Caenorhabditis elegans: one gene and its partners. The protein of the gene in region 4 purifies or fractionates together with the protein of the main gene of each other region. This does not show direct contact. Each region holds a gene or a part of one and is shown on either strand. Other genes may lie near its edges. The genes, in order: rpl-15, cox-4, asg-2 and F01G4.6.

Region 1 (5,702 bases), about 10 Mb from region 4:
GAAGAATGCTCCAATGTTGGCGACAAAAACAACGCCAAATCCCATGGCAAGTGGTCCGGACATCATCAAAAACTTCTCCGATGGAGCGGTGATGGCGGTGGCCGAGAGGCCTCCAACGATTCCGGCCGTGTACCAAGCCGCACGAGTGAGAACTGGGCCGGCCATGAAGCACAGCGGCGCGAAGACGGCTCCGAGAACACCTGAATATAGAGGAAATTGGATGAAATTTTATATATATAATTATATCAAAATTTCGGAAAGTTTCCAATTTCGGCTTAAAAAATCTCAAATTTTGTCAATTTTTCCGTCTCGCAGCTATTGGAAATTGATTTTATTCGGTTTTTTCGGTCCTTTTTGCATATAAATATAGTTTTTCTTACAATATATTTGGTTGATTTAGGTACATTAAAAGCTAGCCGAGCCAAAACTTATGCAAAACAGTAGAATAATCCTACAACAGTAAATTTCCACCCGCTGCAACACGGAAAAGTTGACAAAATCAGAGATTTTAGCCAGAATTCGACCAATTTTTCATCGAAGTTCGGCCTTTTTAGTTTGTAAAAATCACAAAATTGATTTTTTTTTTCAAGTTCTCCGTTGAAAATCCGCCGTACCACAGTGAAGAGCCCAGGCGAGATGCTTGGCGACGGTGCTCTCGTAGTCAATTGATCTGGCGAGCATTCCCGAAGCGATCATTGCAGCCATTGTTCCGAAGAGTGACTGAAAAAATTGATTTTTATTAAATTTCCGATAATTTTTAAAGTTTTTATTGCTTTAAAATTTTTAAAAATGACCTCCAACCTTTTATGGAAGTTCAAATTGTTCGAAAAGTGGATAAAACTAGTTAAAATCATTAATTTTCCGGGTTTTTAATTGATATGCACACAAATTTGAACCTAAAAACCAGTAAAATCGCTGCAAAAACAACAGAATAAGAGATTATTACGACAAATTTCAATTTTTCGTTAAAAAATTGATTTTTTGGACCTGAAAATTCCATTTCTCAGTCATGAGTAGATAAAAATGCAAAAAATTTCTCGTTTTCCAAGCTTTTTATTAGCCAAAAATTGATTTTTTGGTCCTGAAACTCGCAATTTTCAGTCATGAGATGACGAAATTTCGAACTTTTTTTGCAATTTTCACTCAAAAATGCGGTTTTCTAACTGAATAAGCCCAAAAAAAAAAAACGGGAAAACGTTAAAATCAGGCATTTCCAGCGGCTTTGAAGCCTTTTTTAATCGATTTTTTGGTTAATTTTCAGTCGGTAAGCACACAAAAACCCGGGTTTTCTGACGAAATCGGGCATTTCCAGCGACTTCGAAGCCCATTTTCCGGGATTTTCAAGGGATTTCACAACGAATTTCGCTTTTCTTCGGGGATATTTCGTCCCTTACCATCATTCCTCCGCCAGCGGTCAATCTCATAATCGCCGCGCTTCTGGAAGCTGCAACTCCGCTGACAGCAGTTAAAGCGAGACTTCCAGCCAAATAAGCATACGTTGTGCTGATTCTTTCACGGACGTATGATGGCCAAATTGCGCTTTTTTGGAGAATACTCTGCTCTTTTGAGACGAGTCCGTAGTACATGAGAGCTCCAACTCCGAAGACGGATGCTCCAGCGAGAGCATAGGTTCCGTAGACGAATGCTGGAAATATATGTAGGCCTTTTTATAATTGAAAATTCCAGTAAAATCCTCACGTTTTCCAGTAGTTGGTCCCAAAAGTCGCTCCTTCAGCGTTGGTCCAGTGCGAACTCCGAATCCCTGAACTCTTTAAATCGTTTTCTCGTCAAAAATTATTGAAAAACTCACTTGATTTACTCGAGAACCGAATCCGGACTGCCCTCCTCCATAACGAGCTGATTTTGCGGCGGTGTTGGCGAAAAATCGGACTCCCGAGGTGAAAGTCGCCACTTTTGGAACGGTCATCGTGAGACGAGACAACATTTTCTGACTGAAATGATGAGAATACGACGAGAAAAGTGGAAATTGTGTTTGTTTGTGATGAAAACAACCGAGGTCACGTGGGAAAAAATGATGCAACGAGGAGTTATGAAATTTAGAAAGTTCTAGATGTTTTAGAATGTCTAGCGAAAATAACGTAGCCTAAAATAAGGGATAAACCATTTATTATAGCTTTATGCCGGATTTCCAAAGTTCTACAAATAAAAACCACATTTTAGGGAGAAAAATGACTTTTTTATTCGATAGAAACCGAATATTACTGATTTTATAGATATTTTTCGATTAAATATAATGTTTTATCAATTAAAAATACGAAAAAACCAGATAAAAACCTGAAAAAACCTGTAAAACAAGGAAAAACATATTAAAAATCACAAACAATTCGTGTCGATTTACGGCGGACGAGGCTTGGCACACGGCCAGCCGCCGGACTACGGTGTTTGCATTGTGGAGCGTGTTTCGAGTGTATGCGAAGTGTATGAGAGCGTCTTCTCATTTCACACACGAGTTTTGTTGGCCTAAACGATTTTTTTGGATTTTTCAGCAATTTTAGTGAAGTTTTCCTAGGTTTTTCATGAATTTTGTTAAATTAATTTAAAATTTTAATTTTTACTGGCAAAAAATCAGTAGTTTGTTATTTTTACGCAGAATTCCGCCCAAAATGTTGGGACTTTGATGAAATAGATTTTCTGTCAGCCAGAATTTTAAAAAACTATGTTCCATTCTTCGATTCACTTTTCTTTTTCAACAATTTTATTTATTCAACCCCTCAATCTCGTTATTCTAACCTTTTTTCTTTCAGAAAACATGGGTGCATACAAGTATATGCAGGAAATCTGGCGCAAGAAGCAGTCAGATGCTCTTCGCTACTTGCTCCGTATTCGTACCTGGCACTACAGACAGTTGAGCGCCGTCCACCGTGTCCCACGCCCAACCAGACCAGAGAAGGCTCGCCGTCTCGGATACCGTGCCAAGCAAGGTAAGATTGTAAAGATTTGAATAAAATTTTAAAAGCTACTTGCCACAATGTCTGGGCAAGGTGCCCTGCACCCGCTTGAGCAACCTAATCCATTGATGGCTATATAAAATTCATTGAGTAATCCCTGTTGAGTTATATAGAACTTTCCAGTTTCATATCATTGATACAATTTATTGAGATTAAATTTCATTTTTCAGGATTCGTTGTCTACCGCGTCCGTGTCCGCAGAGGAAACAGAAAGCGTCCAGTCTGCAAGGGACAAACCTACGGAAAGCCAAAGACCCATGGAGTTAACGAGCTCAAGAACGCCAAGTCTAAGCAAGCCGTTGCTGAGGTGATTACTACGAATTAAATGATTAGATGAAATTGTTGCCTCAGTGTCTGGGCAAAGCAGACTGTTTTTAATAGTACTGACTTAATCCACTGATGGCTATAGAAAAACATTGTGTAATCCCCGAACACCTTGTGGTGTATTGGATTCATGACATTGTGACAATTTAAACAAAATTTTCAGATATTAGCATTTACTTTTCAAAGTTAATTCGTTGTATTTCAGGGCCGCGCTGGACGTCGTCTTGGATCCCTCCGTGTTCTCAACTCCTACTGGGTTGCTGAGGACTCCACCTACAAGTTCTACGAGGTTGTCCTGATCGATCCATTCCACAAGGCTATCCGTCGTAACCCAGACACCCAATGGATCACCAAGCCAGTTCACAAGCACCGTGAGCAAAGAGGACTCACCTCTGCTGGACGCAAGTCTCGTGGACTCGGAAAGGGATGGCGTTTCTCTGCTACCCGCGGAGGATCCCAAGCCAAGAACTGGAAGAGAAAGAACACCAAAGTTTTCCACCGCAAGCGATAAATCTTGTTATTTTATTTTGTTTTGGGCTTGTTCCGAAAATGAAATGGTTGTTATCAAACCTAATTGTTTTATCTTTGTATTTTTCACATTAAAAAAGAAATAGTTTTTAAAATCACAGTCTTCATGAAAAGAGTAATGAGCACATTGAGCGAAGGCCCAGTAGCACGTCTTCTCAAGGAGAAGCTGTTCGCCGCGTTCCAGGTAAACTGATCTCTAAATATGTCGGAAGGAAACTGTTGAATTCTAGCCAAAACATCTCGAAGTGGAATGCGAGAGCCACCTGCACAACGTTCCAAAAGGAGCCGAGAAGCACTTCCGAGTGCAAGTTGTCAGTGATGAGTTCGAGGGGAAACGTGTCATCGAGGTTGGTGGAAAAAGATCGATACATGGATTAGTCGAACACATGGAAAAACTCGCTAAAGGCCGTGGAACGGCACTTTTTCATAGGCTTTACCAATTTTTCAGCTAAAACATTTGCTTTTTCAACATTATCGCCAATTTATTCCTTCTTAAAAACATGGATTTGTCGATTTCGTGGCTAAAAGTATGATATCTGGTCTCGACACGACAAGTTTTGTTAAATACAAACGGGTGTGCGCCTTTAAAGAGTACTGTAATTTCAAGGACTCGTTTCTGCGCAATTTTCATCGACTTTTCATAATTTTTCGATAAAAATTATTTATTTATTTAAAAAAACCCATAACAATAAAAACACATAAATTCGCGAGAAAAACTATGAAAAATCGATAAAAACTCGGTAGAAATAAAATTTTGAAGTTACTGTATTTTTTTAAAGACGCACTCTTTTTCCAATGTAACAGAAAATTTAGTTTCGAGGCCGCCGGATGATACCGCATTTTTGGAGCAAAAATCGCAAATTTTCGCTAAAATTGGCGAAAATAGTTCAAAAATTTGGAAGTTTCGTGTTTGCGGCCCCAATACCTAACGAGACCCAAATTATGGTTATTATAAGAACAAAAAATTCTGTTGACGTGCAAAATATCTCGTAGCGAAAACTACAGTAATTGTTTAAATGACCCCACTGTAGCTCTTGTGTCGATTTACGGGCACAATTTTTGAAACGAATTTCTATGGTTTTCACAAAATTTGGAAGCCCGTATTAACCCAAAAAAATGTTGATTTTCAGAGACATCGTCTTGTGAACACGTGTCTTGCCAAGGAGCTTGCCACGACTGTCCACGCGCTTCGAATCGACGCTATTCCAACCAGCAAGTGGGACGGACAGAAGCAAGAAGACAGTCCGACGTGCCGTGGTGGATTTGGAAAATAACATGATCATTTTTGAATTTTTTTTTCATGTCAAAGTATGAAAAATATATAGAAGAATAAAAAAGAAACAAGTATTTATTTATTTTTTTTTAATGAGAAATAAATCTTCAAAGTTATCGTTCTCAATCGGGAACCACAGACAAGAAACCGCATGGATGGGGGAATGAAACTCGAACTAGTGGGGGGAATATATCTCTTATAACACGGATTTCTGGCTTCCCTCATAAATTGAAATGGAAGAGTTTACCGAACTAGGCCATTTTGGCTCGGCCATATCTGGGGTAGATTTACGGCGCGCCGCGGCTCGATTTTAGTTGTAAAACTAAATGTATTTGTCCGTGTGGAGTACACGACTTTCCCACGCCTTGGCGGCGATTGTCAATGAAACACGGAAAATTCAATGAGGAAGACCAGAACCCGTGTTATAATAGAAAAAAAATAACAAAAAAAAATGTTCAGAGCATAATCTCTGACATGTTGAATGGATTGAATCGTTGAAGTTCTTCTCGAAGTTTGTCTGAAAAACTTTTATTGAAAATCGATAAAAATTTCAAAATTATTATTACCTAAAACTTCATCAGAAGTTTTCTGCCCAACTACAGTATGCT
Region 2 (5,732 bases), on a different chromosome or scaffold from region 4:
GACATTGACACTGAACTACAATCCACTCAATCGATCGAATCATTCCCCTCCGAGAGTTCCCCAATCTGGCTTCTTTGACAATCCATTGCACACTTATCGATGATAGGACTCCACAGGAAAATGCAGCCCGAGTATTTCAAGTACTGCTGCAGCCCAATCTCGAGGTTAACGAGTTCCGTAGAGCCGACGTTGAAGCCGAGATCTTGATTCTCAATCGAGATGAGCCTCGTGGGCCTGATGGGATGCGTATTGGACGCGGAGGACGCGGTGGACGCGGAGATCGGGGCGGATATTTTCAAGAGTAGAAGCTCGATTAATTTGCCCCTCTTAAAATTATCATTTTTTCATTCCTCGTTTTTTTAATTGTATAATCTTAAATTTTTCCGATCTTCAGATCTCCCACATCAATTGATTTCACAATTTTCTCGTTGTATAGTAAAAGATTTCAATATCTACTTCAACTGCTTCAAAATTCGAATAGAGGAACACTTCTTCGATTTTTTATCCGTTGGATTGTAGTATTACTCGATATCCGCACGTTTCATCAAAATTTCGAGTCTGACGAAGATCTGAATTAGTACACTGCAACTTTTTCCTCACGAGGGACGAGGAAAAGTTTTTTCCCGTTTTTTCTTATTAAAACTGATAAATAAATACTTTTTGCAGATGCTAAAACAATTTCCAAGTAAAAAAATTATGTTTTCAGTCGGCAAGCAGCGTGAAAGTGGTCAATGCAATATGATGGATTACGGGAATACAAAACCCAAACTTTTTCCCAAACATGATACATATGATGCTTAGATGCTGACATTACCTGATTTTCATAACGAGACCGCTGAAAAAGTTTTGAGGTTTCCAAAATTCAACTTTTTGTGCGAAAATCTCGACTTTTTCAGCGGTCTCGTTATGAAAATCAGGTAGTCTCAGCATTTAAGCAGCATATGTATCATGTTTCAGAAAAAGTTTAGGTTTTGTATTCCCGTAATCCATCATATTACAATGCCCACTTTCACCGCTGCTTGCCCACTGAATACATGATTTTTTTACTTGGAAATTGTTTTAGCATCTGCAAAAAATATTTATTTATCAGTTTTATTAAGAAAAAACGGGAAAAAGCTGTGAAAAACGAAAGAAAACACGCGGAAAAAAAGCAAGATAAATGGCCGCTGAAACTTGTCGGCCCCTCGGCCATGGCCTAGAAACCACTTTTCCTCGTCCCTCGTGAGGAAAAAGTTGCAGTGTTGGGGTAAAAAACTACGCTGAGCTCGATTTTCAGCTTTTTTGGGGTCTAAAAGCTGCTCTAAAAGCCTAAAAGCCTTAGTTTTAGCTAAAAATCCCAAATATTGTACCTTCAGAGCCCACAACATAATCCATATTCTCAGGATTCCGTCCACATTGCCCAAAATTATTATCACCAATCGCAAAAACGCCCAAATTGGTTCGAATCAGCGAGTGCGCTCTACCGGACGAAATCTCGAGAATTTCGTCGCCGGGAATATTGATTTTCTTTGCGGATATATAATAATCCTGATATTTGTTGATATTCGTCAATTGGCCACCGATCTGGAAGCTAAATTCGTGATTTTTGAGGGTTTTTTGGTATTTTTTACAATTATTAGGGAAAAAAAATCAATAAAAACAGCTGTTTTTTTTTTGATTTTTCGCTGAAAAATCGATTTTTTAGAGCACTTTTTCGTAAAAAAATGGCTTTTTTTTGGCGAAAAACATGAAATTTCTCAAATTTTTCAGAAAAATTGTTTAAAATAGGTAGATTTTTAAATTTTGAGAATTTTCTGTGAGAAATTAGAAAAAAAGGGTTTTGGGAAGAAATTATCGAATTTTCGTTGTTTTTTCTCGGAAAAGTCGGGATTTTTGAGGATTTTCAGTGAAAAACTGCTAAAAATCTGCTTTTTGAAGCTTTTTGGCAACGTTTTATCGATTTTTCGGAAAAATAATGAGAAACCCCCTAATTTTTGTATTTTTATTCAATTTTTCAATGAAAAATCGTATTTTTTCCAATTTTTTTGGGAAAACTCATTTAAAAACGCAATAAAACTGATTTTTTCGATTTTTTTCCAGTTTCTTGAGTTTTTTAATCGATTTTTCAGATTCTTCCGCTCATCTTGACAAATTTAAAGCCCTTTTTCAGAAAAATCCAGCGTTTTTCAGAGTTTTTGGGCCAAAATCGCCAATTTATCGATTTTTCCAGAGAATTTCCTGCGAAAATCCCACCGATTATTAATTCCAGCACCGTAGAGGCGATTTTTCGACGCAAAAAGCGAAAATCCAAAGCCTGAGCTTATAAATTTTTTTATAAAAAGTTTTTCTCAATTTTTCACCCAAAAGATTCAAAAAGCAAGAGCGCTCTATTGGACTCAATTGGCTGCGTACTTGAACGCGTGTAAAACGTTGATTACTCAGTCAACACGATTTACGGAGTGAACAGCCCGCAACGGCGAGCCGTTGTTACATTGCCAATTTATTGATTTTTCTGGAGATTTTGCCAAGTTTTATGCAAAAATTAAAAGGAACCACATATTTCCATCGTTTGTTCGTATTCCGGCTAGTTTAATCCTTAAAACACGAAGAGAGAACGGTTTTTGATTATTAATATATTGCACCCGTGTGTTCTGTTGTTTGTTCGTTTCTGACTAAAACTATCCTCTTCCACGTTTCCATCGGTGTTTTCCGTCGGCCACTTTAGAAATTACTTTAGAAATTCATTTTTATTATGAAAATAGTTCATTTGAGTATGTTTTTTTCATTTCTCCACACTGACGCCGGATTTACCTTTTGTTTTTTGGTTTTTCCTGCATTTTCAACCCATAAACCAGTTATTTATTTCAGGTATGTTGGCTCGTCAAATGATGCTGCCACGTTTGGCTCTCCGCGCAGTGCACACCACCGCCCGTCTGTCCGGAGGACAGGAATTCTACTGGGGACCCGATAAGGCCGCTGGACGCGAGCTCGTCGGATACGGAGCAAATGGAGATAACGTACGCCTTGTTTATTTTATAAATTTTAAATTTAATTAATTTATTTTTCAGATCTACCAAGATCGTCTCGACTACTGGTATCCAGCTATTCGATTCCGCAAGGAGGACAGTGTGATTGCCCCAATTCGCGCCAAGGAGCAAGCCGACTGGAAGAACTTGTCTGCTGAGGAGAAGAAGCTCTGTTAGTATTCAATTTTCCTCGACAAACTTGAAAATGTTGCTAAGTTTTCAGTGTACCGCTACAGCTTCCGTCAAACGCTGTCCGAATTCGAGGCTCCAACCGGATACTGGAAGGTGATCTCCGCCGTTATCCTCTCCGTGCTCGGACTTTGCACCTATTATGCTGTTCTTCTCAACGTCTGCGTGTACCCAGAACTGCCGCCAACCTTCCAGAACGAGTACAAGGAGGCTCAGGTTGAGCGTGCGCTTGTGCTCGAGAAGGGACAATTCCTCGGTGCACCGACACACTACGATTACGAGAACAAGAAGTGGAAGTAAAATATAGAGATTCAGCAGAAATAAAATAAAATTTTTTTGTAGCTTCTTTCTCGTTTTTATAATTCTCTCTTGGTTGTCGTCGCTCCCCCCGCCCCATCACTCTCTCGTCAAACATTCAAGCTTACCTTCTTCTTCATCGCCCCAACCCTCATCTGAAACCTAGATAAGCTGTAAATCTCTCCTAGCGGTCGAACGCACTGACCAATTCTTTCGTCTCCCCCAATTTTTTCTTCAAATTTTCCAAGTGGTTCGGCTTCTTGAGAGATGGGCTGCCCTGTAAACCAGAAATAAATAGATTGAATGTTGCTGTTAAATCCAGGAGGCAATAATTTATTTATTTCTTTACAAAAGTGAAATTTTAGTTTGACACTCGGAGATAGCGGGTAGTAGCGAGGAAAATGGTTCGGGTTGGGGAGAATCTGATTTAAATTGTGACATTTTCAGGATTTTCGTCATTAAGTGATCCGATTTTTGCGATGCGTCCGATTCGTTTCCATCGGTTTCTGGAAGTTGAGCAGTTGAAATTGTGGAAGCACTTTTCGATAGACTGGATGGCTTCCCAACTCGCTTGATCTTCCCGAACAGTGCACCCATCGCAGCCATCGATTTTCTATGAACCGACATTTGAGGGATCTGAAACTTCTAATTCTAGATTTTGAAAATCTCAAGCCACCCAAACCGTAATCTTTGCCACCGGAACAACTGAACCTTCAGCGCCAGTCAGCATATTCCTGCCAACCTGAATCTGCTCAGCGACCGACGAAATATACTCATTGGCTTCTTCCAAGGATTTCAGACGGATTGCAGTATTATTAAATAACCGAACAGTAGATGGCCTCCAAATGAATACACCTTCGAGAGTTTCCAGTCGAGCACATTGTCGATTATTTCCAGATGTTCCTGTTTGAATAGTATTGATATCTTCCAGCGCAACGATTTGCACATCAGTCATCTTTTCTCCATCGATTTCATAGGTTACAATATACAAATTGGAGCGGGTTAATATGACGACTGTGTCGATTTCATCGCTACTTTGGAATGCGTTAATCAATCCCCAGCCAGCGATGACAGTTTGCTGGGTTGGAACCAGGAATTGTATGGTTTCAGTCACCATTCGACTGATATTCTCTTCTTCTTCCTTCTCATTTTCCTCTTCTTCTGCATTTTCGTCGGCTTCCGTTTGTCCTGTCACTATATTGATGGCTTTTTGGCGTTGAGCATCTTTGGTGTGTGTTAGGTAGTATCTGAAAACGGAAAATTGTGTAGTTTGTAGTGTGAGAATGTTTTTGAATTAGAAAAAATGTATTGAAAATGAACATTTGAGGCGGAAATTGACATTCGGTTGAGGATGAGAGACTACAAACTACAAAATTTGGGTGAGGCTACAAGATTCTGTAGTTTGTAGTGTGAATTTTGTGCTTTTTTATTTTCTTGAATTGTAAAAAAGTGTATTGAAAATGAACATTTGAGGCGGAAATTGATATTTGGTTGAGGCAGAGACTTGGTTGAGGCTACGAGATTCTGTAGTTTGTAGTGTGAGCCTCAACCAATATTCCTAGTGATTTTCTGGTGTTTTTAACTCGGAAAACTATTTAATGCTTATTTTTTTAGGGCAGAAATACTTTTTTTAGTTTAAAGTTTCAGGTTTTTAGAACAAAAATCGATTTTTCCAGCCAAATTTGTTATTTTTTCTTTCAAAAATACTCGATTCAAGGAAAAAAATGTGATTTTTTACCGAAAAATTCGAAAAAAATAACTTATGATCAACTTTGGTGAGGCTCACAAAGAGTGTAGTTTGTAGTGTTAGCCTCACCCAAAACTAATTTTCTGGTTGAGGCTGTCAGAATTCTGTAGTTTGTAGTGTGAGCCTCAACCAAGTCGATTTTAATCGAATTTTCGCCATTTTTTCTAGCTTCCCGTACCTCGATGCACTATTATATCCATCTTTCATGACCCCCATCAGCTTCCGCTCTCCATTCCTCGTCACATCTCCCTTCAGCGCGGCGGTTCCGGCGTATTGCGTCGATATCACATCTCCATTATCAGCCCACATCGTTTGCATCGTCTGTACGAGCACTTCGGGCGGTTCGCACAGCGGTCCGAAGATTCCGAGGCGTTGAGCCTGCTGTAACACTACAAACAGGGAGATTTGGCCCTGAACAAGATTCGTTCGGTCCAGACAGTCGATACAGTTGGTTCGGACGACGCCTTTTTGGGATTGAACCACTTCTCCGGTTT
Region 3 (5,458 bases), on a different chromosome or scaffold from region 4:
AACTTCTGTCTGAAAAGTTTTTTATTTAACACTCTCTATTATATTACTCTCTATTATCTATTCTATTATCTATTATCTAACAACTCTATTATATTACTTACAAGAGTTGCTATAGCTTGGAGTTGATGAATAGTATGTGGCAGCAGAAGCAAGGCCAAAAAGCTGAAATTGTTTTAATTAAAAGGTTTTTATTGGATGGAAAACTCACTGCAAGAAGAATGGTAAACTGCATTTTAGACTTGGTGTGGTTTATCCCAGTCACCTCTGACCTTTTTATACTTGTCCTTTTTTCTAGGCGGTTGTTTGTCTTGGACTCGATAAACATGTGCCTGTGGCTCAGCGTCGTCCAAGTAAACACATGTTTTGCCAGAAAAATCTCCCAGTTTACAAAAAATGTCTGCCAAAGGGTACAGAGTCAATAAACGTTGATAAGTAGTCGTTGATAAGTTCACTTAAATTATTGACTTTTTCGTGTTGTTTGGCCCGAGTCACAAATACCGCTATGTTTACATTTCGCTTACACTGCGGACTATAGTTTTTTTTGTTTGAGTTAATGTTACTTATTATCACGAGAAACTAAATTAATAGATCGAGCAGATTCCGAGAATAGATTCTATCCGAAAGATTAATAAAGTTGTTCTATTTCGATCACATGCTTTTAGAATGTAACATCTGGAGTCACGGAATCTTCCGATATTGCTTTATAAATTCAGTTATTGTTATTTTACTCGGAAAGAATGATTCATTGTTCACACTCAGAAACCACAGATTGCAGTGACAAACAACTCCGAGAGATGTTTGTCAGGTAAGCGAAAGATTGGCAAAAACCGTTTACATTGTGAGCAAACTTTTTTTCGGCTCGATTAAAAAAAATGCAAGTACAGCCACCAAACGCGAATTTTTTTTTGGTGGAATCTACATGGAATGGAGTTTAGATAAATAAAATGAATCGATTTTAATTATTAGGTCTCCAAATAAGTTCCGGGTCAAAAATCATAACTTCTTTCGCCTTTTATCGATTTTCTTGGAACTATGGGAATTTATGTTATCAACTATGATCTTTCATTTTGATATGGTCACAAAAATTTTTGACCACTAGGAATTTTTTCAAGCATTTTCCTGATCTCGCTTCTTTGCAGCTTTGAATTGAGGTTTATGTGCGGACTTCGCTTTGTTTAAAATACATTGTAAGAAAACAACAAAAGTTTGGAAAAAAATCAGTCCAAAAATTTTTTTTTGGTCGGTGGTCAAAAATTTTTTTATTTTTTTCAAAAAATTTTTTTTCGAAAATTCTTGATTTTTCATACAAAAATGATGTAGTCATGTGTGAACTATTTTTACAAATACAAAACATTTTAACTAAGTTCGTCACACTCAAATGATAATAGAAAACATAATTTTTTCGAAGAATATTTTTGAGTTTTTTGAGTATTTCTCGAGATCCAATTTTCAAACTCAAATGTTTTGTATGTTTAAAAATAGTTTACACATGGTTACATCATTTTTATACTAAAAATCAAAAACTTTCGAAAGAAATTTTTTTTGAAGTTTTTTTGACGGCCGACCAAAAAGAATTTTTTTGGACGGATTTTTTTCCAAACTTTTGTTGATTTCCTACGATGTATTCTAAACATAGTAAAATCCGCACACAAACCTTAGTTCAAAGCTGCAAAGAAGCGAGATCAGAAAAATGCCTGAAAAAAATGGCTTCGAGTTAGGGCACTCCGGGTGGTCAAAAAATTTTGTGACTATTTCAAAATGAAAGGTCATAGTTGATAACATGAATTCCCAAAGTTTCAAAAAATCTATAAAAGGCAAAAAAAGTTATGATTTTTGACCCGGAACTTATTTGGAGACCTAATACTTTCACAAAAAATTCACGAAAAACCTTTTCTGCATACCTTTATGTCCGGCACTGTAATTAATTTTTGAAAATATTTGTTGACGTGCAACTGTTCATGAACTAGGATTGATAACATGAACTGTTGGTGAATTTACATAAAATCATTATATGAAAGAAAGGAGAAAGTGTGATTTTCATTTAAGAAAAAGCTTGCAAAACTAATGAGACCTGCATACTGAATAATATATAAATCTGAGAATTTTCTTCCGAGATGGCAAACTTTTGGGTGACTAGGGTTCTATGGAAACGAAGTATTCAAAATTTCACAGGATCCAGTAGGCATAGTGGGGTGTATCATAGGGGCAAGGATCAATAGTGACAACCTTTTCTCAACTAGTTTTTTGTATGCATACATGTATATATTTATTTTGCAACTGATTTCGGCCATAATTCACTGAAATAAATTTGTAAATATGCCAAAATATTGCTAATGTGCGGTGAAATTAATTTTATGAATGTGAAAGGCATTTTGTCACTGGTTAGTGAACATGATTTTTTTTTTGATTTTTTCATAACTTTGTGGCTTTCTCATCTCTCTATTTCATATATTTTGATATGAAATAGAGAGATGAGTAAGCGCGCAGAAAAGTTATAAAGGGGTGGTACAGGGGACCAAGTTTACCCTTAAATCGGAAAATTATGAGAAACACCAGACTTTTGGTGATATTCTCAAAAAAAAATCGATTTAGGATTATTCCCTCCTGTATAAATGCAATTTCAAATTTAAAAAATTTACTTTGTGAAAATTGTATTTTAGTACACTTGCTGTACGAATATACTTATAAAATATTGACTACGGTGTAGATGTTATTCTTATTTTTATACTCCCCATGCATCTATGTACATATGCCAACTTATTAGAGCGTACTCTAAAAGTTTCTAATTTAAATTAATTTTTATTGCATTCAGAATGTCTTCCTTGAATGTTTCTCAAAACACAGCCAAATTTTATCAAAAATTATTAGAAATTTTTATATTTATTTTTTTCATCAATACTTCATTTTACAAACTCCAAAATAAATCTATCAAAAATTTGTCGATATCAAAAACGAGCCGCTAAACATAAGGATAACAATTTAGTTCTCGAGAGCAGCAAGAGCCTCTTGTTCTTTGACGGTCTTCTTGGTGGACTTGGAAACGTAATCAGCAGGAACCTACAATACGATATAATGACTAATAAAAATAATGCATGACAACTTACAAGATATCCGAAGATGTAGCGACGTCCAATCATTTCTCCAACGAAGAACCAGAAGACAACCTCAAGAGTGACGGCAGTGTAGACAAGTCCTTCCTGAAAAAATAAACGTTCCGGTTAATAAATTTCATCGTTTTGAAGTTTTTGATAACCAAATATGAATAAAAATTTGCATTAGTAATATCAAGTGAATTCGTTGTGTTTATTTATATATAGAGCAACACTTTAATGTTTGAAACGTTTAGTATGGTAATGTGAAAGTCTAGTATAAATGTTCTGGCTAACTATTCATAAAGTATATTTTTTAACTTTAACTTTTTTATTTAACAAAAACTCACTCTAATGCTCAAATTCTTGTATCCTCCGGTCTGGATGAAGCTCTGGACTTTGGCCCAATCGGCCTTGATGGCTGGCCAGTCAGCTTGACGTGGTGGAGCAAGCTCGTGCTTTCCTACGGCCTGTAGTGTTTGATTTTTTAAATTTCCAACATTAGACGGTGTCCAAAGACATAAATACACAGAGACAAAAAACTGTACCTTCAGAATAGCGAAGCGACGTGGAAATTGAGCATGTTGGTGGCGGTACAAAGCCCCAGTGAGGTTGGCGATCTTCTCAAAAAATCCAAGTTTTGGAGCAGCCATTCTGAAAAATTAACGTTATTTGAAACGAAAATTCATTGACACAAACAAAAATTGACGGAAAACACTCAGAGAAACACGGCAAAATATCTAAAGTTTTAAAACAAATTAATAAGTTGATTTAAAAGCAAAAATTAGTGTATTTTTACCCGTAAATGAGATGTGTACCGCCTTGAATTCCCAGAGACTTGCCTCTTCGTTATGAGACCTTCTCAATGGAGCGCAATTGCACATGTTACCTCTCCATCTTCCTTCCCATCTTTTGGCCGGCACAGGCGGGAGTATCGATTTTATTGAAGACGGAATTGTTTTACAAGGTGCAAATGTACAGATTGTTTTCTTCTGGAAAAAGTACGATGTTTTAAAACAAAAATATGACATTTATTTTTTAATTTATTAAAAAAAGCTTTAATAAAAGTTTTAAAAAAAGACATTGAAAAATATTCTTAAATGTTTAATTTAACATTTTTTTTTATCTTTCAAATTTCTGCTAGAACTTTGTATTTTGCTTTTTTCAACGCCCACTAATCAAAGTTCTTTTAGTGCTTGTGACAACACTATGGGAAAATCAGTCAATTCAATTATCGTCTACACATCAACCAATTAAGAATAAAATGAAAGAACTTGCTGAACAAATGCATTTGAAATGCTCAACATCTTCAGATTTCTACTATTATCTTTCCTAGGAACAGGTGTATCATCAATACGGATTGGTAGGCAATCAAATTGGGTTTCATCAGCAAAAAAAATTTTAAGGATTAATAACGAGTCACCATTTGGAGCATTCTGTACGAACCGCCGTGAATATTATAGTACCAAGAATCAATGAACAAATTGTGAAAACGCGAGGAGCTTGCTTTATCACTCACACATCCTTTATTGCACTGAAAAATTCGCACGAAGATTTGAACACAAAAAGTAAGGTAATGGAAAAAGTTCTCACATTTTTTCTCCTCGATTTTTAGTATGCGATCTCGCAAACTCAGAAGTCAGTGTTATTATTGGTGTTGTCGACAGAGAGAGTGGATCCATTATTGAAGAGCAATGTGCAGAGTTGAATATACTATTTATCCACTATTACTGGACACCCGGATATCAAAAGTAACATTTTTTAAAATTTAAATTTGATAAAAGCTTTTAAAAAGTATTAGCAATGTTTACTTGCTTTTTCAGAAAACAACAAACATCACTAAATTTGTATCCATCGATGGAATATTCTCAACTAATGGAAAGACTTATAAATCTGTGGCGCTGGGATAATTTCGTGTACATTTATTCAAATTATGACGCTCCGAAGCAACTTATCGAGACACTTTCTCGACTAGAAAAGAGCCCTGCTCTGCTACGTGCTCACACTTTGGATGACAGTATGATGGCAACAGCCTTGGCATTACGAGATACTTGTGACAGGTAGGTTTATTAATAGCACGTGGATCTTAACCGAAATATGAATTGGAACATGCCTGTTTTTGGAATTAAAAAGTCGTATAATAAAAGTTATATTTTATAGACTCAGAAATTATCAGTTATCTCCTGAAACTGAAAATAGTTTCAGATTTCGTTTTCAAGTGTTCATACTTGAGCTCCGCAGCTAAAGTTTCTTTGAAACAAAGCTTCTTTAACTTTTATACGTTTTGTTTTAAAGTCAGAGGCTATTTTAACTTCCTTTCATTGTATGTATAAATATTAAATAATTAATCACGTGTTAACTAACACGCA
Region 4 (6,397 bases):
GGAACTAATTATGAAAATGTATATTCAATTACCTTCTCTCTTCTCCAGTAACTAAATCACATGGTATTCCAAGTTCATTTGTTCGATGAAACACTTCAGCAGCAAGTAATTTCAGTGGTCCACAGAAAACTGCACTTTTTGCCTCACCAAAACTGAAATAGAATATTTGGAAATCAATTTATTGTTTCAGATAATTACCGTTTAAGAGCGTGATATGTTTTTCCACTATTCGTTGGTCCAGCGTGAAAAAAGATCTTTCTTGTCACACTTCTGGCTTCAGGATACCAATTGTGCGGTCTTGTGAGATCGGAAATGATTCGCAAATCGTCCATCGCTTCCAAGTGGGGAAAAACCTCAAAATTTCAGATAAACTCTCAATTAAGATAGTTTTCGGAAACCTGTTTGGCATGATCTAAAAAGAACGGATACAGCATTTCACAGTCTTTTGTTCCTTTTGAAATATCGCTTAATAGAATAAGAAGTCCAGGATCAACAGAATTTAGGTCTTCTGGTGTACAGTACTCTCTGAATGATTTGAAAGATCGCATGAATAATTTATCATTGATCCCGTTTTCTTTGGCAAGTTGGCGTACCATTGGACGGCGCATAAATTCATCAAGGGACATGTGAATGTTTGTCTGAAAGTTGAAAAATGAGCTTTGGAAGATGCTGGAGTTGGCATTTTTGATGAGATCGAATAAGTTCTTACATTATCTAGTGATCCAATCCATTCTCCCATTCCCGCAGCTGTTTGTGTTACATGTTTAACTTTTCGAGGTTCGACAATATCCTCAATAGTCGCAGTTTTTCTCACAGAATTCCTTTTTCTTCTAGAATTCATTGCTGGAAATCTGGAGGAGGATGGGGTTGAGCTGGTTGAACATCTTTGAGTTAGGCCTCCCAGAACTCGTAAAACACCAGACGCCCTTCTCATCTGTAATATTTGATAGAAGTATGCACACGCTGAAATAGAAATAGAAATAACGGAAATCCAGAAATTGTTTTGAAAACGTTTATACGTACGCCAGAAGAGATTCATTCGAAAAAATGATGCAAACGTAAACAATAAAGCAATTTTACACACAAAATAGAAATTATTCCCGAGGGTTCAGCGTCTACTTTGAATCAGCTCGCGAAGATTCGTTTCAGCCTCCACCAATCCTTTCTCCAAATAGTCTTTCTGCTTCTCGATAGCTTCAATTTTCTCTCTGAAAATGGGATTGGTTGTGTAAACTGTTTTGAATGGAAGAATGAAATTACTTTGACTGTTTAGCTTCAGCTTCATGTCTGGAAATTTCAGCTGGTTTGTCGGTCAGCAGGAACATACGCCCAACAGATCGATAGTACTTGAGGTTTTCATCCAAATCCACCAAGTTCTTTTTTGTGCTCTCTGAGATCCTCATTTTCTGAAAAATTTAGTTATTAGAAGCGTTACTTAAGAGAAAAAGTTATACTTTTATGTTTTTAAATATTAAAAATGCTGAGTGTTTTTTAATGGATGTGTGTAATGAAAAAATACCGATGTACAGCAAAAACTTTTTTGGCAAAGCTAGATTGTAGTTGTGACTAGCTGTGACTATTTGTGACTTAGGCACAAGCTAAGAGGTGAAACTCGCTAGTTTCTATGTTATCAAGTTATGATGTCATACATTTCTCATAATATTTAAAGTATATCAAATTTCAATATTTAATATTCAAAAATACTCACCTGATAGTTAACTTTCTTATTTTGTTCTCCTTGAACTATCCGCATTCGTGTTTCATTGGTTTTGAATTGCAAGTCGCGAAACGCTTTTGAGATCTCCTCGTCGGCCATTTCTGAAGTTGTAATATGAAAGTTGATTTAATAATTGAGACAAAAAAGAGTTGCGTTAAAAGAAATCACGAGAAAAGCAAAGAAAACAAATTGATTATCTTTGAAAAGTTGATTTGGAATAAACTTTTGAGAGATGGATTATTTATCCACAAATTTTAATTATTTTATGATTTATATATGTTAAAAAATGAGATACACCTTTTAAATGATAAAATAATAATGCTAGAAAACAGAATTTTAGATGTTGTAGTCATATTTTAAAATAAAAATGGAAAAATCGAGTAGAAATGTTTGCTGGCGCATTGCCAGAATCGAGTTAGATGTGCAGGTCATATAGCAAAGTGACGGGAGACGACTACGGTAGGGGCCGACCATGGCTCAGAGAACGTCCATGATATCTTTTGAGGCGGTTTGCAGGCCCGCCAGTGATAAATTATCAGTTATTCTACGAATTTCTTGAATTTTGAGTTTTATTGTAGATTTTTGAAGCATTATATTGCAAAATCATCTGTGATATTTTTGTTAGTGTCTCTTTTACATTTTTATACTTCCCGCATACTAATTTTTCGTGTGAATATAAATGTTTGGCAATAATTTCGGTAATTTCCAGGTAACCACCATGAGCGTGTTCAGCCAGCTTGCCGAATCATCGAAGCAGAACCCATTCAGCTTGCCGGTCAGGTCGGGTAACTGCGCCAGTGCTGTTTCAGCTCGTAAGTATTAATTGAATTTAAAAAAAAAACTTAATATATTAGCTAGCATAATATTGTCAGTAAAATAGTAAATTCACGTCCTACTTAGATTACTTTCTAGAATTTAGTTTTTTATTAGGAGGGGTAATGACAATCCGAATTTTTCTTTACCTGCATTCTCTGTTCCCACTTCCCGTGCAGCGCATGTGCACACGTAAATTGACGAGGGCTGCGAGAGGCACGGCGGAGATAGTATCTCGCGAAAAGAGAATCGAGACAGACTATTCCCTCGTTTTGCAAAACGTGGCAACCGCGTTTTAAAAAGACATAGAATCGAATATCTGTCTGCCGTTCGACGTCGTTCACACGTAAATTTCACGTGGATCATTTACTATCTTCCACGTTATTTCTATGCTACCACATGCCTAGGCGGGATTATAAGCATTGTTATAATCGCTTATCAATGACGTCCGAAACGGAAGAGAAGGCTATGCCATTCATAGCTCGAGCCAAATCTCCTCATCTCCAAACTGGAAGGGCTGGCATTATAGTGATATTATGCATGTGGATTATAATTTATTTTTGGGGTGTTACCCAACTAGTTGACGGGTTAATGGACTGGCTGGCGTACGGGTCCACTCAATATGTTGCACGGGTCGCGGTTGGTGTTGTCACCACTGTAGCTTCTTCATATGAAGGTTTATCGCTCGAACTATACAATTTAATGTTTTTTTGTTACAGCTGGACAAGTTGAATTCGGAAGTGGCAAGTACTACGCTTACTGTGCTCTCGGAGGAGTTCTTTCTTGTGGAATCACCCACACTGCCATCGTACCACTTGATCTTGTCAAGTGCAGAATTCAGGTATTACGAGAAAAATCTATTCAACTTAATTGTTTTCTTTTAGGTGAATCCAGAGAAGTACACCGGTATTGCTACTGGTTTCCGGACCACCATCGCCGAGGAAGGAGCTCGTGCTCTTGTAAAGGGATGGGCCCCAACCCTCCTTGGATACTCCGCACAAGGACTTGGAAAATTCGGATTCTACGAGATCTTCAAGAACGTCTACGCTGACATGCTCGGAGAAGAGAACGCATATCTCTACAGAACCTCTCTTTACCTCGCTGCTTCCGCCTCAGCTGAGTTCTTCGCTGATATCCTTCTCGCCCCAATGGAAGCCACCAAGGTCCGTATCCAAACCTCACCAGGAGCTCCACCAACTCTTCGTGGATGTGCACCAATGATCTACAAGGCCGAAGGACTCACCGGATTTTACAAGGGACTTCCACCACTCTGGATGAGACAGATTCCATACACCATGATGAAGTTCGCTTGCTTCGAGAAGACCGTTGAGGCCCTTTACCAATACGTTGTTCCAAAGCCAAGAGCAGAGTGCTCCAAGGCTGAACAACTTGTCGTCACGTTTGTTGCTGGATATATCGCCGGAGTTTTCTGCGCCATCGTATCTCACCCAGCCGACACTGTTGTTTCCAAGCTTAACCAAGACTCTCAAGCCACCGCCGGAGGAATCCTCAAGAAACTTGGTTTCGCCGGAGTCTGGAAGGGACTTGTGCCACGTATTATCATGATCGGAACCCTCACAGCTCTTCAATGGTTCATCTATGATTCTGTTAAAGTGAGTTTATATCGGTATTATTTTTCTTAATTAATAAAAAAAATTCAGGTCGCCCTCAACCTTCCACGCCCACCACCACCAGAGATGCCAGCTTCCCTCAAGGCCAAGCTTGCCGCTCAACAATAATTGCACTGACTAGATAATGATTTTGATTTCCTTCCTTAATCGATTGTTCTAGCCATTGTATTAATTTGAAATCCACCCAATTTGTCTCTTTTCTCTCGGTCCTACTCTCACTCTTAATTTTTTATAACTAATTAGTGCACCATGCTCGGTTTTAGTGTGATTATCATTTCCTTCATTTGTTTCAAGTTGTCCTTCAATCCCGATGTCTTCTTTTTTGAAAGATGAGTTCTCTGGCAGTGTTTTTATAAATCTCCTCCGAACAAAACCGATCGAAGAATATTGTATACGTTGGTGTTAATTTGTGTGTGTTCTCAAGAAAAGACCTCAATTGGGTAGTTCAATTAATACAGTCCACCCTCGCTCGTTTTACCGTTGAATTCCAATAAAAAAAATTGATAATAACGTGATTTTCAGAATTTATGGATAAAATTACTAAAAACGTGGTTTTAATCAGGACATTAGAAGCAAAAATTCTTCTCGTCCGGTTTGTTTCCTGAGATATTAATATTTTATACGGAAACTTAGTTTCTAGAACATTTTCCTTCACACGTCTGTTGCTTCTTGATGTTGCTTTTTCAATTTACTTATGGAATATTTGGACACCAAATTGGGAATGGACAGTCAATGAATTTTGGGATCAAACTGGAAATGTTGCTGATAATTTGAACGGAGTAATAATATTTTGAACTTTATGCTCTTCAATAAGAATTTTCAGACAATAACATGGCTGAGAAGTAATCCAGCTGGACTTAAACTTAATACTCCCGTAAATGAAACTCTTGCATGGTTCTTCACTTATCACATTTATCTATGGACAAGTATGCTCTTTTGTTTCCAGAAATTCGCATTCAACTTTCATAATGATTTTTCAGCTTTCATTGGATTTCTTCGTTCTGATGCATTCTTCCGGTTCATCGCATACTCTTTGATCGGTGGCATTTCAACATTTTCTGCGATGGTTTACGATTTCTCGCAAATATTTTTCTTGCACTTCAATTGTTTTGATGCCTACGCTACCAAGTAATCGGGAACTTCAATTGATTTTAAAAGATAATTAATTTTTCAGATTGTGCTACCTTTGTTACTACACTTTAACAGTTCTTTGGAGCCTTGTGAGGGGAAAGAAGTGGAATCCATTGAGAGAACGAAAAGACACTGTAAGAGTTTTCTGGTATACCTATGTCATTTTGTATAAATATTTTCAGGTAATCCTCGACACTCGTCAGCAATTCCTGGCAACTTCTCTGTTCGTCATCCTTCTTTTCATTCTTCCTACAATTTTTGTCTACTTCGTCGTCTTCCGATGTCTTCGACTCGCTGTATCGGCACTTCAAACCGTGCTCTATTTCTTCGCAACGTGGCCATTTCAACTGTTTGCTCTTGAAAAACATTTAGCTGAAAAATACGGAAAACCAGCGGATGCACAAAACGAAGCATTGGCTGAGAAGAAAACAAAATCCCAAAACTGAATTTGGATATATTCAATTTTGATATCTTCGGGTTTTGTTCTCATCATGAGTTTTTTCGTTGTATATGAAAATAAAATTTTGCCAATTTTCCGTTGGTCACTTTAAATTTCTAGTTGTATCACTAACTTCCCTATTTCCAAATGGGAAGCTTGATTGAAAAATAACATCTTTTCGTGAAAATTAAAAACTATTTTTTTGAATTTCGTGCGTGCAAAATACCAAATACGCAAACACCTCAAATGACGACAAAAATTGGAGGTATTTTTTAATTAAATTAAATTGTATAAATTGACAAATAATATATTAAGGAAATTACGAGAATAAATGGCGGATATCGAAGCCGTATAAATGGGAAATCAGGGGTCATGGGACATGCTTGCGTGACAAAACGCGGAAACTTTCGCTGAGTGGCGACTCAGCTATCAATAAAACATATAACTATTAGGGAAAAATGCGGAAGGATTGCGAATAAAACATTTTAGAATTGGACAGGGGAGGGAATACTATAATCTTGAATGAAAAAAAAGTCAGGACGGGAACTTTTGCATTAAACATGGGGGGCATTTGAAAGAAAAAGATTTTGCGAGGAATTTTTCAACTATCCACGCGTCTTCCTTTCGATTGTGGTGGGAGCAGCACTCTTGGAGTCTCATTTATTC

Evidence for each region.
Region 1: the proteins of F01G4.6 (region 4) and rpl-15 fractionate together in Caenorhabditis elegans (co-fractionation; one large-scale study listed by BioGRID). This does not show direct contact.
Region 2: the proteins of F01G4.6 (region 4) and cox-4 fractionate together in Caenorhabditis elegans (co-fractionation; one large-scale study listed by BioGRID). This does not show direct contact.
Region 3: the proteins of F01G4.6 (region 4) and asg-2 fractionate together in Caenorhabditis elegans (co-fractionation; one large-scale study listed by BioGRID). This does not show direct contact.

The regions. Positions count from the first base shown.
Region 1 is NC_003282.8:651,640-657,341, reverse strand, and holds rpl-15 (Large ribosomal subunit protein eL15), read left to right. Parts: upstream 1-2,765; 5' UTR 2,766-2,770; coding exon 2,771-2,942; intron 2,943-2,980; exon of another isoform or gene 2,981-3,113; intron 3,114-3,139; coding exon 3,140-3,276; intron 3,277-3,311; exon of another isoform or gene 3,312-3,440; intron 3,441-3,498; coding exon 3,499-3,804; 3' UTR 3,805-3,862; downstream 3,863-5,702. Other genes in the region: K11H12.8 (Growth hormone-inducible transmembrane protein), read right to left, coding at 1-200, 615-720, 1,395-1,645, 1,699-1,762, 1,811-1,945; Putative bolA-like protein K11H12.1, read left to right, coding at 3,940-4,005, 4,052-4,168, 4,952-5,095; K11H12.9 (Protein kinase domain-containing protein), read right to left, coding at 5,550-5,611, 5,661-5,702.
Region 2 is NC_003279.8:13,656,244-13,661,975, reverse strand, and holds cox-4 (Cytochrome c oxidase subunit 4), read left to right. Parts: upstream 1-2,847; 5' UTR 2,848-2,864; coding exon 2,865-2,996; intron 2,997-3,047; coding exon 3,048-3,177; intron 3,178-3,228; coding exon 3,229-3,494; 3' UTR 3,495-3,805; downstream 3,806-5,732. Other genes in the region: W09C5.12 (Leucine Rich repeat-containing domain protein), read left to right, coding at 1-103; sac-2 (SAC domain-containing protein), read right to left, coding at 3,837-4,127, 4,174-4,738, 5,417-5,732.
Region 3 is NC_003284.9:6,839,543-6,845,000, reverse strand, and holds asg-2 (putative ATP synthase subunit g 2, mitochondrial), read right to left. Parts: upstream 3,744-5,458; 5' UTR 3,743-3,743; coding exon 3,638-3,742; intron 3,560-3,637; coding exon 3,440-3,559; intron 3,198-3,439; coding exon 3,105-3,197; intron 3,058-3,104; coding exon 2,980-3,057; 3' UTR 2,880-2,979; downstream 1-2,879. Other genes in the region: C53B7.3 (DUF7107 domain-containing protein), read right to left, coding at 1-9, 102-162, 209-232; glr-6 (Glutamate receptor ionotropic, kainate 2), read left to right, coding at 4,386-4,452, 4,496-4,657, 4,705-4,840, 4,913-5,149. UniProt on the Caenorhabditis elegans protein: Mitochondrial membrane ATP synthase (F(1)F(0) ATP synthase or Complex V) produces ATP from ADP in the presence of a proton gradient across the membrane which is generated by electron transport complexes of the respiratory chain.
Region 4 is NC_003282.8:11,145,534-11,151,930, reverse strand, and holds F01G4.6 (Phosphate carrier protein, mitochondrial), read left to right. Parts: upstream 1-2,729; 5' UTR 2,730-2,971; coding exon 2,972-3,206; intron 3,207-3,249; coding exon 3,250-3,371; intron 3,372-3,414; coding exon 3,415-4,143; intron 4,144-4,191; coding exon 4,192-4,269; downstream 4,270-6,397. Other genes in the region: C08F8.2 (ATP-dependent RNA helicase SUV3 homolog, mitochondrial), read right to left, coding at 33-152, 199-353, 399-638, 710-934; pfd-1 (putative prefoldin subunit 1), read right to left, coding at 1,109-1,208, 1,261-1,406, 1,709-1,816; pigq-1 (PMT_2 domain-containing protein), read left to right, coding at 4,689-4,753, 4,802-4,940, 4,985-5,087, 5,142-5,289, 5,336-5,426, 5,475-5,738; F01G4.4 (CNH domain-containing protein), read right to left, coding at 6,333-6,397. UniProt on the Caenorhabditis elegans protein: Transport of phosphate groups from the cytosol to the mitochondrial matrix.